Linked DNA regions of Rhinolophus ferrumequinum. The protein of the gene in region 1 interacts with the protein of each later gene in a biochemical or structural test. Links are inferred from orthologs where the notes say so. Each region holds a gene or a part of one and is shown in the gene's direction. Other genes may lie near its edges.

Region 1 (3,748 bases):
ACCCGGTCTTATAAGTAAAATAAGACTGGGTCTTATATTAATTTTTGCTCCAAAAGACTCATTAGAGCTAATTGTCCGGTTAGGTCTTATTTTCCGGGAAACGTGGTAATAACTGCCGGAAATAAACACAGTAAGTTTATTTCAGGCATGATCTACCATTATCAAATTTTATTAAATTATGTTAAATACTTAAATTATAAGTATTTTCTTAAATAAAAAGTATGTTACCATATGCCATTTTACCATCTTCCTTTAAAAAAATTTCGTTTTTCCTCCCCTTGGTTCATTTATTTTAAGCTTTCACCTCATTTTAAGCCTCTTTATCACTATGATATAAAAAGGTTTCCTAAAGTCTTCCACAAATATTATTTAACCCTCAAATGGGGTGGAGAGAGCAAAGCCAGTATTACACTGTTTACACATAACAAACTTCGCAAGGTTAAATGCCTAGATCCAGGCCACAGAAGTAGTCTCTACCTGATTCTAAATCGTATGCTAAGATTATATCGTCCATGCCTCTTAAAGAATGGGTGGGTGGATAAGCAGCTACTAATACACTAAAAGGAGGAGATATTTACATACGAAAAGTTATCACCTTCTAAAAAGTTTAAAGTGCGGCAAGGTACAGGAACTCTTGATAATACTATAATTTTTAAGAAACGTGGGCTGGTCCTGACGAGATGTATAAAGGCTCAAATACTCAAAGGGCTTCAGAGCAAACCCAAGCCGGTAAAAGCACCGCATTGACTGGCAGATTCCATACGAAACAGTTGTCTCCCACGTGTCTTGCAGGAAACCCACAGAGCACGAGGAATAAAGAAAGCCAAGGAGAGGTGGGGGGAAGGTAAAAGCAGCGGATAGGGCTTCCCTGGGAGCCCGAGTGAGCGCGAAGGTTGGGACGGGATGGAGGGAATTCTCAGCGGATCTGGCAGGCAGCGAGTTCTGAGAAGACACCTGGCAGCAGCATGAGGGAGGCGTTCGGCGTGCGAGCGGGCTGCCCGCGGGCCGCGCCCTGGGCAGCTCCCTGGGGTTTTTGCTTCTCCGGTTCGAGAGGTGTTGGAGGAGAAAGCGCGGAAGACAGCAAAAAAGGGAGGAGACGCTAGAATAGCCACAAGCGGGCAAGAGTCCGAGTCCGCGCGAGACTCGGGCCGGGGGCTGGCCGCACCTGCAGGCCCTCCCGAGCCGCCGTAGCCCCGCCCCCTCTGCTCGTGGCGCCAATGACGCTTGGCGCGCGGGCCGCTCTCCTTACAGAGGTCGCTCTTGTCCGAACGGTCGGCCTGTGCTGCGCCTGCGTGCTCGGGAGGGGAAGTGAGGCGGTTTCCTCGGCGCCTTTTCCGGTGGCGGCGGCGGCAGAGCTGGGAGGAGGCGGTGGAGGCCGGAGGGAGCCCGCGCTCGGGGCGGCGGCTGGAGGTAACCTCCCGGGCCGAGCTGGAAAGGCAGGCCACCTGGACCACCGCTCCCCTCTGGAGCTCCGGCTGTAATTCCCTTTTCCCTCTCTGTGTCTCTGCAGGCAGCGCACCGAGTTCCCGCGAGGATCAATGACCTGACGAGGCGCCGGAGCCTCGCTGCCTCGGGTGGCCTGGGTCGGTGGTGAGCCCGGCGTTCGCGGACCGGCGGGCGGGCCACAGGGTCGCAGTCTCCCGCGGCTGAGTGAGGAGAAGGCGGAGGAGCGGGAATCGCAGCGGCGCTCGCGCGGCGCTCGCGGGGGGAAGGGCAGTTCCGGGCCGGGCCGCGCCTCGCCTCAGCAGGGCGGCGGCTCTCCCGGCGTAGACTCAGGGCCCCGGCGGCAGCGGCGACTGGAGAAATCAAGTTGTGTGGTCGGTGATGCCCGAGTGAGCGGTGGGCCCGGGCCTCTGTCCCGAGGAGGCAACTCCCACGCAGGCCTCACGGGCGCCCTCGCGGCTGGGAGGCTTCGTTTCGGTTTCGCGGCGGCGGCGTTGTTGGCAGAGGGGACTTGGGACACCTGAATGCCCCCGGCCCCGGCTCCTCCGACGCGATGGGGAAGGTGCTATCCAAGATCTTCGGGAACAAGGAAATGCGGATCCTCATGTTGGGCCTGGACGCGGCCGGCAAGACAACAATCCTGTACAAGTTGAAGCTGGGCCAGTCAGTGACCACCATCCCCACCGTGGGTTTCAACGTGGAGACGGTGACTTATAAAAACGTCAAGTTCAACGTGTGGGATGTGGGCGGCCAGGACAAGATCCGGCCGCTCTGGCGGCATTACTACACCGGGACCCAGGGTCTGATCTTCGTGGTGGACTGCGCCGACCGCGACCGCATCGACGAGGCCCGCCAGGAGCTGCACCGCATTATCAATGACCGGGAGATGAGGGACGCCATAATCCTCATCTTCGCCAACAAGCAGGACCTGCCTGATGCCATGAAACCCCACGAGATCCAGGAGAAACTGGGCCTGACCCGGATTCGGGACAGGAACTGGTATGTGCAGCCCTCCTGTGCCACCTCAGGGGATGGACTCTATGAGGGGCTCACATGGTTAACCTCTAACTACAAATCTTAATGAGTGTTCTCCACCCATCCCCCGGAAGGAGAGAAATCAAAAACCCATTCATAGGATTATCTCCACCATCACCTCTTTCAATTGCCACTTTCTCTTCTTTTGAATTTGAACTCTGGAGTTGCTCTTCTACAGTTTGGGGGGGATTAGGGATTTCCTTTTTGTTTCTTTTTTCTTTTTTTTTTTGCTTTGCGGTAGGATGCTCTGATCTGATATTTGACATGAACACAAAGTGCTAGATGCTCTTGTTGACTTCCAGCAAATGGGATGGGGGAAATATAGCAGTTCTTGGTAAAGTCCTTTATAATAATGGTATGATTTTTTTATTTTGACAGAATCTTTCCTTCCAATGTATGCTTTTTTCCTTTTTGCCCAGTTTCCTTATCACTTGCTGTAGATGGCTTATTTTGCATTCATGCAGACTATGTTGCAAGTCTGTTTCATCTAGTAAACTGAAAATTATTGCTTAATCAAACTGCCGTTTGTCTTTTATATTTAAGGCCTTTCCCCCCTCCCTTATGAGTTACAACTTTAACTTAGTAATTTCAAATGTGACCTTTTATATCTAAGACCAGTATAGAAAACTCAGCCCACAGTGGCAAGTGAGTAATATTGTAATATGTTCCAGTTGCACATCAGTATGTTAAACAGGTAATATAAGAAGTTCTTTGAAATGTCAGCTATTAAATTCTGAAACATACATCATGCATGAGTAGGGATAAAACTCAAGTTCCCCATTACATAGCTAACTTAACGCTGCATAAAAATATAAAATTGTAACCCGTCTAAGGACACAGATTTTTGTCACTGCAAAGTTAGCAATTTTGCTGTGTTTTCCCTCTTTTCTAACTTTAAAAAGACTTTCCAGAAAATGGAGCAATAATGGTGTATCCACCCACACACAGTCAAAATATTTGTAGATATTTTAAGTGACTTGGGCAAAACTGGAATATATACTTTTACCATGTTTCAATGTCTAAGACCAATAGTTTTTAAATTACTAGAATGTTTACTTTGTTCATTAATGAAACATTTAACAATTCAAATTTTATATGCACCTTTTACCTAGTTGGAAATACACACATTCCTGTTTTCACATTACAGCAACTGATTGAAGATAAAGTCTTTCTTTTTATAGTTTAGTGATCCACACCTCCATGAATTAGAACACTGGAAGAGTTTTATAAAAGTATTTAATTCTGTTTGATTGTAGAATTAACTCATGCA
Region 2 (3,748 bases), on another chromosome or scaffold:
ATTGATTATCTGGCTGCTCTCCCAGCTCACGGTGTCTATCTGGGGTAGGGACTGGGGACAATAGAAACACAGGGATGGAGAAGGATGTTACGTTGGAGATAAAGGGACAGGAAAAAGGTTCTGTTTGGAAGGAAAGAGAGTAGGGTCAGGGATGGCACAGCCTGGGTTTCCACTGGAAGGGCAGGGCCTGGGCCACTCATAAAGGTCAGTAAGGGGATTAGGAGGCGCTGTGTCTAATCTGTCAGTTTAACCAGGTCCTGGCCCTGAATTTGTCCCCACCTGCCTAGCCCAGAGGCAGCGAACGAGGACGAGGCCCAGACACCACCTCAGACCCAATTACGGACCTGGGTGCCCAGGTTCTCCATCCAGGCCAAGATCCTGCACCTGCTTTGCCTGCGAGAAATGAGAATGAGAGGCTGGGAGGACTCAAATGCGGGAGAATTCTGAGAGGAGAAAGGCATTTAAAAAGAGCAAGAATGTGAGAGAAGGGGGAACCTGAATGAGGCGAGTTGGAAAGGAGTGAATGGACTCTTAGAAGGGGGAAGGAATCAGAGGTGGGAGGGTGCTGAGGAAAGTTGTCAGAGGGGGAGGATGCTAAAATAAGGGGAGGAGTTTGGGGGAGAGGGAAGAGCCTGAGAGTCAGCAGGTGCCAGGAAGGCGGAGCCTCTGCTTTCACTATATTTGGCCTTTCCCTATTGTCCCATTCTCCTTGACAGATACCAAATAGCGTAGCATTTAGAAGAAAGAATACGTCTTTGTTCCACCACTCGTTGACTTTGAAGAGGCTGAGGTGGATGGGGTCATAGGAGGGGTTAAGAAAAGGGACTGGAGATCGGAGGGGCCAGTTCCCGGAGGAAGGAGGATAAAAGAAAGGTGAGCTAACCAAAGCTGCTCCCGGTTGCGTGGCAACCGCTGCGGTCAAAAGCCAGCTTGGACTTCTAGGAGGTGTGGCTCACGAAAACATCCGACAGCTGTGGCCCCGCCCCCTAGCAACAAGGCTAACAAAGTACCGCCCCCCCCCCCCCCGAAACACACAACTAGAGGCGGGGCTCGGTTGAACTATAATAGTGTCCTTGTGCCCACAGCCCTTGGGCAGGCGCAGTCCTCTGTGCTCCCGCATAGTCCCACCTCCATGCAAATCCTTTCCGAGGTTTCTCATTGGCGAGCAATCCAGCCAAGTGACTTCTTTTGTTTCGGAGGCGGGGCCCGACGCACTGGCTGCACTCCGATTGGCATCGCAGGCCGTCTACCTCCGACCGGACATGGCTACGTCTGCTCCTTGTGCCCTTATTGGCCCTGGAGGATGGCCCTTCGGTACCGGGGGCGGAGCAGACGAGAGGGCCTGCAGTGGATTGGACGGTGTCGAAACGAGGGGCGGTCCCTACAGGCGGGGCGGTTGGTAGGCGAAGAGAGAGTCTTTTCAGCGCTGAGGACTGGCGCTGAGGAGGCGGCGGTGGCTCCCGGGGCGTTTGAGCGGGCTCACTCGAGCCCGCGGGCCAACGCGGATCCAGGCCCGACCGGCGGGACCGCCCCGGACTCCCCGCGGGCCTTCCTAGCCGCCATGGAGGACGGTGTCTATGGTAGGTCGGGGAGGGGTGGAGCTGGCACGAGCAGATGGAGTCTTTCGTCCCGAACGTTCCGGTGCGAACGTTCCCTTTGGCGCTCACCTCGCGGAGCCGTTCGGCCCCATCGTTGCCGCCTTGCTTTTATGGGGCTTGGGATGGGCTTCCGGCGAGACCCTAGAGCGGGGCGTTCCAGGCCATTGTTTGGGCCGATCCTGTTTCCGGTGGCGGCGGGAGGGGACGGGATGGAGCAGCGGAGGCGAGGCCGAGGCGGAACCTTCCCCGCCGGAGGGGCCGGGCGAGCCCAGTGCCTGCTGGGAGCAGGCAGGGGGACTTCTGGGGGCGGCGGAGTAGGGAAGAAATCTTGGGGGCTGCAGAGATCCGGCTAAGACGGAGGCCTTTGATGTCCCGCCCCCTTTCCCAACTCTTACGAGCTGTCATCAGCTTTCCTTGCCATAGTTAACTTTTCATGGAACAGGAGTCCGGACATCCAGGTCCCAGCTACCTTGCCAGTAATGGAAGCAGAACACCAAGGCCTCAACCCCTTTCCAAGTAATGGAACCAGCAGTTCAGGCTGCTAGCCCAGTCTCCCCCAGACCTAAGAGTTCAAGCTCCAGCCCCCTTCTCCCTCAGACTCAGGAGCCCGGACCCCGGGTCCCCGCCTCCCCCAGGACTCAAGAGGCCACCAGCCCCTTCTTCCATTAGACATAGGATGCTGGACCCTCATTTTCATCATCCCCACGAACCTAGGAGTCCTGTTCCCCCTTCCCGCACCCCTGTCATCCCCCAGATTGCAGGAATCCAGGCTCACAGTCCACAGAACTGACCTCCAACTCCTGACCCCTAGAACCCCCAGACCTTACGCCGGAGGAGCGGATGGAGTTGGAGAACATCCGGCGACGGAAGCAGGAGCTGCTGGTGGAGATCCAGCGCCTGCGGGAGGAGCTCAGCGAAGCCATGAGTGAGGTGGAGGGTCTGGAGGCCAATGAGGGCAGGTGAGGGCTGGGTAGCGAATTTGGGGGTCATGGGGCCAGGCCGGGGCCAGGGATGCCCAGGTATTGACCCTCCATCCCCCTGCTCTCTGCCCTGCAGCAAGACCTTGCAGCGGAACCGGAAAATGGCCATGGGCAGGAAGAAGTTCAACATGGATCCCAAGAAGGTGCCTGGGGGCCACAGGGCTGGGATCCGCCTAGCAGATATCTTGACGGAGGTTCTGGCACCTCCATGTTCCACAAGTGTGATGGTTAAAGGCCTACTTTAGGTGTACAGATTTGGTCCTAATCTCTGGATTTAGAAACTGGCTCTCCACTTATTCTCTGAATACTAACCAAATATTTCAGCCTCCTGACCTTGGCCTGTGCTGTGTTCTCTGGGAGATCCTCTTTCCTCTTTTTGCTCATATTCCTGGACCCACTTCCGGTGTCACCTAGAGTCCCAGGACGAGCTTATGTCTGGTGGGGAACATGGACAGTGACATACACAAAGGCAGGTTGACCACTGCCGTGATATGGAGGTACAAGAGCTGTGGACACTCAGAGGAGGGAGCCCAATGCAGTCATGGAGGGCTTCCCAGAGAAGGGGACGTTCAGATCTGGTGTGAAGGACGAGTTGGTGTTCACCAGATGGAGGAAAGATGTTTGTTGATTCAGTCTTTCTCTTTATACCCAGTTCCTGAGGCCTCCCTTGGGCCTGCCCCTCTGCTAGGCAATGCTGGGAGCCCAGAGAAGAGTTTGACCCTGCCCTCAGGGAGCCCCTAGACGTGGATACCACAATTCAGTGGTGTCCATTATAGAGCTATAATGGATGCCCTCATGGCATCAGGAGAGCCAGAGAAGGCCCTAGTCCAGTCTGAGGCTTGGTCCTCACAGCCCTTGACAGACTGCTGCCCGAAGCAATTGTAGTTTGTTCAATCATTCAACCAATATCCACTGAGCTCCTGTCCCTTGCGGACCCTGCTCTGGGTGCTGGAATTAACTAGGAAAAGGCAGAGGGAACAGTAGGTGCAAAGGTTATGAGGTGGGAGGGATGTTATTTAAAGACCTGTGAGAAGCCTGAAAATGACACCTGGCCCTGCCCTGTTGAGCGTGGGGGTGGGTTTGCGTGCTGTAGTTTCCGGGGAGGTAGTGGAAAGTGGCTTTCTGAGCACATCAGCACTGAGACCCAGACCCCACCCTCCAGGGGATCCA
Region 3 (3,748 bases), on another chromosome or scaffold:
ATGCTGAGGTCAAGATTGCCTGAGCTGCTGAAGGAAGGCCCAGTGGACAGCTGGATATCTCGGTCTGAAGCTGGGGGAAATAATCTGCTAAGAAGGTACAGATTTGGCCCCAAACATGTTGAAGGCATGAGAATAGCTGATTTTGTCTAGGGAGTATGTAAAGGGTAAGAAGAGAAGATAATGATGGACAGAAATTTAGAAAAACCCAACTATTCAGGAAAAAATCTACTTTCTCATCTATAAAAATAAGGAGCTACGGGTGTGTGTGTATACACATCCATCCACACACATATCTGCCTTGTTTAGAAACTGAGAAGGGGCTTTCTTACAAGGAAAGCAGGCTCTCCAGTGTCATCTCTAAACAACCAACTTACTCTCTTCTACATGTGAGGTTTTGAATTACTTCTCCATGGCATATTTCTGTTGAAGAAAATAAGCTATTTGAACAGTAGATGTATGTCATAATAAATTAAAATGGTACTAATAGTTTCAGAGTTATTGGCCAAGATCTGCTTGACCACACAGAGCTCAAGCCGCCAAGGTCAGTAATCCCACTTCAGGCATAAGAATGTGGGCTTTGGATGGAAGCGCCTCGTTTATAGAGGGCACTCTCCCAGGATATACCATTCTCTAGCCTTATTTTCGTGTTCTATCTTCACCCTAATAAATATCACCAGTGCAGCTTACCTGCCTTAGGAATTGTACAAAATGTGAATTCTCCAGTTTCTCTCTTTTAAAAACAAAGAGAAACTTCCCAGCGTTAACGTGTAGCAAAAAGGAAAAAAAAAAAAAAAACAGCCTATTCGATCCACCCTGCTGGCTGTTGCTACCTTGCAGTTTATGACACACAGATAGAGGGAGGTCTGACGACGTGAATGAGACAGCCTGAGAGCTAGCTAGTTCATTCCCGTGGAAACCACGCGACCCTCGGTGCAGGCTGCTCTTCCTACTTTGCTGTGAGATTTCTTTTGTGTGACTTTGAGAGGGGCTTGTGAATGATTCTAAATGTGTGCCTCGCTGAGGCAAGCCGCCCAGGGAGGGAGTGACCCAGCTGAGCGGGGGCAGAGAACGCCAAGGCGGGCTTCGCAGCACTGGAACTGGCTTGACCCTTACATGCAGTTTTTGAAGTCAGCAAAACAGAAATCAAATTACTATCATATTATGCTGGTGGAGGCTCAAGGAGAAGGGACTCTATACCAGCTTATTTATTATGAGAGATGCAACGAGTTACAGAACAGCAGTGTGTCTGATGTGAGGACCCTGAAGACAAATGTAAGTTCTCATCTTCTCATGCTATATTTTATTGCTGTGTAATTTTCTTTCTGGCTTGAAATCATGCTTGGCCAAAATGTAATCATTTCACAATGAGAATTTCTAGTGTGGAAAGTTGTTAATCTTTGCTTAAGACTTTTTTTTGTCCCCTTTTATTAACTAAGCAACATAATACAAGCTGAAATTCCCGGCAGCAGCTGTGGCAGTTCTGCCTAAGACTGAGAATTATAACCCAAAGTACATCCAATTACTCTGGGATTAACACTGAATGTATTTTTAATTGACTTTCTTAATGTAGAAGGCATACAGCCCTGCTGTTTTGGATTGCATGTTGTTTTAAGACGGCTGTGGCTAACCTAGTGTGATCCGCATAACCAACAGAATGAGACAGAGCTAAACGAGATTCCTGGTAGTTACAAAACTTTTCTGTTTTTGGCCAGGATCACATTTTTCTCCCCAAATGCTCAAAACTCTGAAACCTCTATGCTAAAAGTTCATTCTGCCTTTTTGACCTTGCTTTGGAACAAAAAAATGAAACCAAGCAGAAGACTCTACTAAAATTGTGAAGGAAGGAAATATAAAGAGCCACTGCAGTCCTTCAACTACTGTTGTAATAATGGGAGGAAAAAAAGCCAACCAAAGGAGCCCAGCAGGTACACCAGCTTCAGTGTGACGGAGTGTGGGGACATAAAGATGGATGGTGAGCAGAGCCTATTAACTTGTTAGTTTTTCTACACTTCATCTGTTATAAGTTCTGGCTGAGAAATGGATATTCTGTGTGAAGAAAATACTTCTTTGAGCTCAAGTACGAACTCCTTAATGCAACTAAATGATAACACAAGGCTCTACAATAACGATTTTAACTCTGGAGAAGCTAACACTTCCGATGCATTTAACTGGACAGTCGACTCAGAAAATCGAACCAACCTTTCCTGTGAGGGCTGCCTCTCACCACCATGCTTCTCCTTACTTCATCTCCAGGAAAAAAACTGGTCTGCTTTGTTGACAGCTGTAGTGATTATCCTAACCATTGCTGGAAATATACTCGTCATCATGGCAGTGTCCCTAGAGAAAAAGCTGCAGAACGCCACCAACTATTTCCTGATGTCACTTGCCATAGCCGATATGCTGCTGGGTTTCCTTGTCATGCCCGTGTCCATGTTAACCATCCTATATGGTGAGTGGCATTAGTTTCCCAACTATACCCACTGATGATACAGAGCATGTGCATGTCATTAGCAGATGAGCCAGGGCTCACGGGACCAAGTAAACACAAGGCTTTGCTGATAGACAAGGGTCTACCATGTAACTCTAGTTACTTCAACTTTACTCTTAAAATGAGGTTTCACATATATGAAAACAGGCAACCTATTATCTGTGATCACTGGAGAGTTTTGTGCTTTGAAACATGTACATTTTATGTAGAAATGATTATAAATGTCCCAATACAGTCATAAAGCAATAACTTATCTGTCATTCTGAATCCAGTTTATTTTCACTCCTTTATATTCACAAATATTACAGCCTTCAGGACAGAACACTTTTATCTCTGTCACACAGTTTTCAGCACTTCTAATGGAGTAGTAAAACCTTCCCAATTATCTTGGAGCATTTGCAGAGAGAACACTAATGGTGCAAGTGGGTTTAATGTTAAAATATGCAGAGTCCCCATTAGAATAAATGAATTACTCCAGTTTTAATTGTTCCCTGCCCAGAGAAGCAAATTTGGAAGTGGGCCTTTGAATTATACCCTCAACTCTTTAAAGATTCATATGCATAAAATCCTCCAGACTGGTGTGGAGGAGGGTGGAAAACAAATGGGAAGAAATTAATCTTGCTTTCTTCTCAACAGAGTTTGAAAGAGTCAATCCTCTCAGCAAGTCAGCAAACACTGGGGCGGTTTCAGCTGGGAGCAGAATGTGATATTCTTTCCAAATTATGAGTAATACGGCCAGATTTCTCCAGAGAGAGAGAGAGAGAGAGAGAGAGAGAGAGAGAGAGAGAGAGAATATGACTATTGAGACTGCTGACACAGACACATCAGCAATCACCCAGAGCTAGAAACAGGTTAGGAGGAGCACGGTCATTAAAAAGGGATTTTCTGGCCAAGACTTAGGGGCTAAAACAATAATCAATCCCGCCCTGAGGAGTGGGAAGGAGGGAGTGAGCAATGGAGAACAGGTGCCAGTTCACACAGAGTCCATAATGCTCATTGCAAAACCAGCCCGTCCCCACACCCCCACACTTGACCACTCAAATGTCACACCCAGATGATTTCATTAAATTGGCCTGTCATTTCCCAGACATTCTGGAGAGGTCCTCGCTTCCTATATCCCTACCCTGCTCAAATGCAAACTCCAGAGGTGGGGGATGACTTTCACAGTGCGGGTCTGGAAACTAAAACCGCGGAGAGAGGCTAGGGAAGACTCCGAGCGGCAGGTGGCCGGGCAGGCATCCGCCAGTTGGGTTAGGAAGC

The links. The genes of interacting proteins can lie anywhere in the genome.
Region 2: the proteins of ARF6 (region 1) and CYTH2 form a complex in vitro, tested with the Homo sapiens proteins (3 studies listed by BioGRID and IntAct, with this or other methods). The link is inferred for Rhinolophus ferrumequinum from reciprocal best matches to the Homo sapiens genes ARF6 and CYTH2.
Region 3: the proteins of ARF6 (region 1) and HTR2A form a complex in vitro, tested with the Homo sapiens proteins (2 studies listed by BioGRID). The link is inferred for Rhinolophus ferrumequinum from reciprocal best matches to the Homo sapiens genes ARF6 and HTR2A.

What each region holds. Positions count from the first base shown.
Region 1 is NC_046289.1:42,166,690-42,170,437, reverse strand, and holds the start of ARF6 (ADP-ribosylation factor 6), read left to right. Parts: upstream 1-1,410; intron 1,411-1,510; 5' UTR 1,511-1,551; coding exon of another isoform or gene 1,552-1,967; 5' UTR 1,968-1,996; coding exon 1,997-2,524; 3' UTR 2,525-3,748. Other genes in the region: collagen alpha-1(I) chain, read left to right, coding at 1,218-1,410, 1,552-1,967. UniProt on the Homo sapiens protein: GTP-binding protein involved in protein trafficking that regulates endocytic recycling and cytoskeleton remodeling. GTP-bound form plays an important role in the transport of multiple palmitoylated proteins form the Golgi to the plasma membrane.
Region 2 is NC_046298.1:44,013,332-44,017,079, forward strand, and holds the start of CYTH2 (cytohesin-2), read left to right. Parts: upstream 1-1,360; 5' UTR 1,361-1,561; coding exon 1,562-1,580; intron 1,581-2,409; coding exon 2,410-2,557; intron 2,558-2,654; coding exon 2,655-2,721; intron 2,722-3,740; coding exon 3,741-3,748. UniProt on the Homo sapiens protein: Acts as a guanine-nucleotide exchange factor (GEF). Promotes guanine-nucleotide exchange on ARF1, ARF3 and ARF6. Activates ARF factors through replacement of GDP with GTP.
Region 3 is NC_046287.1:90,177,887-90,181,634, forward strand, and holds the start of HTR2A (5-hydroxytryptamine receptor 2A), read left to right. Parts: upstream 1-873; 5' UTR 874-2,037; coding exon 2,038-2,449; intron 2,450-3,748. UniProt on the Homo sapiens protein: G-protein coupled receptor for 5-hydroxytryptamine (serotonin).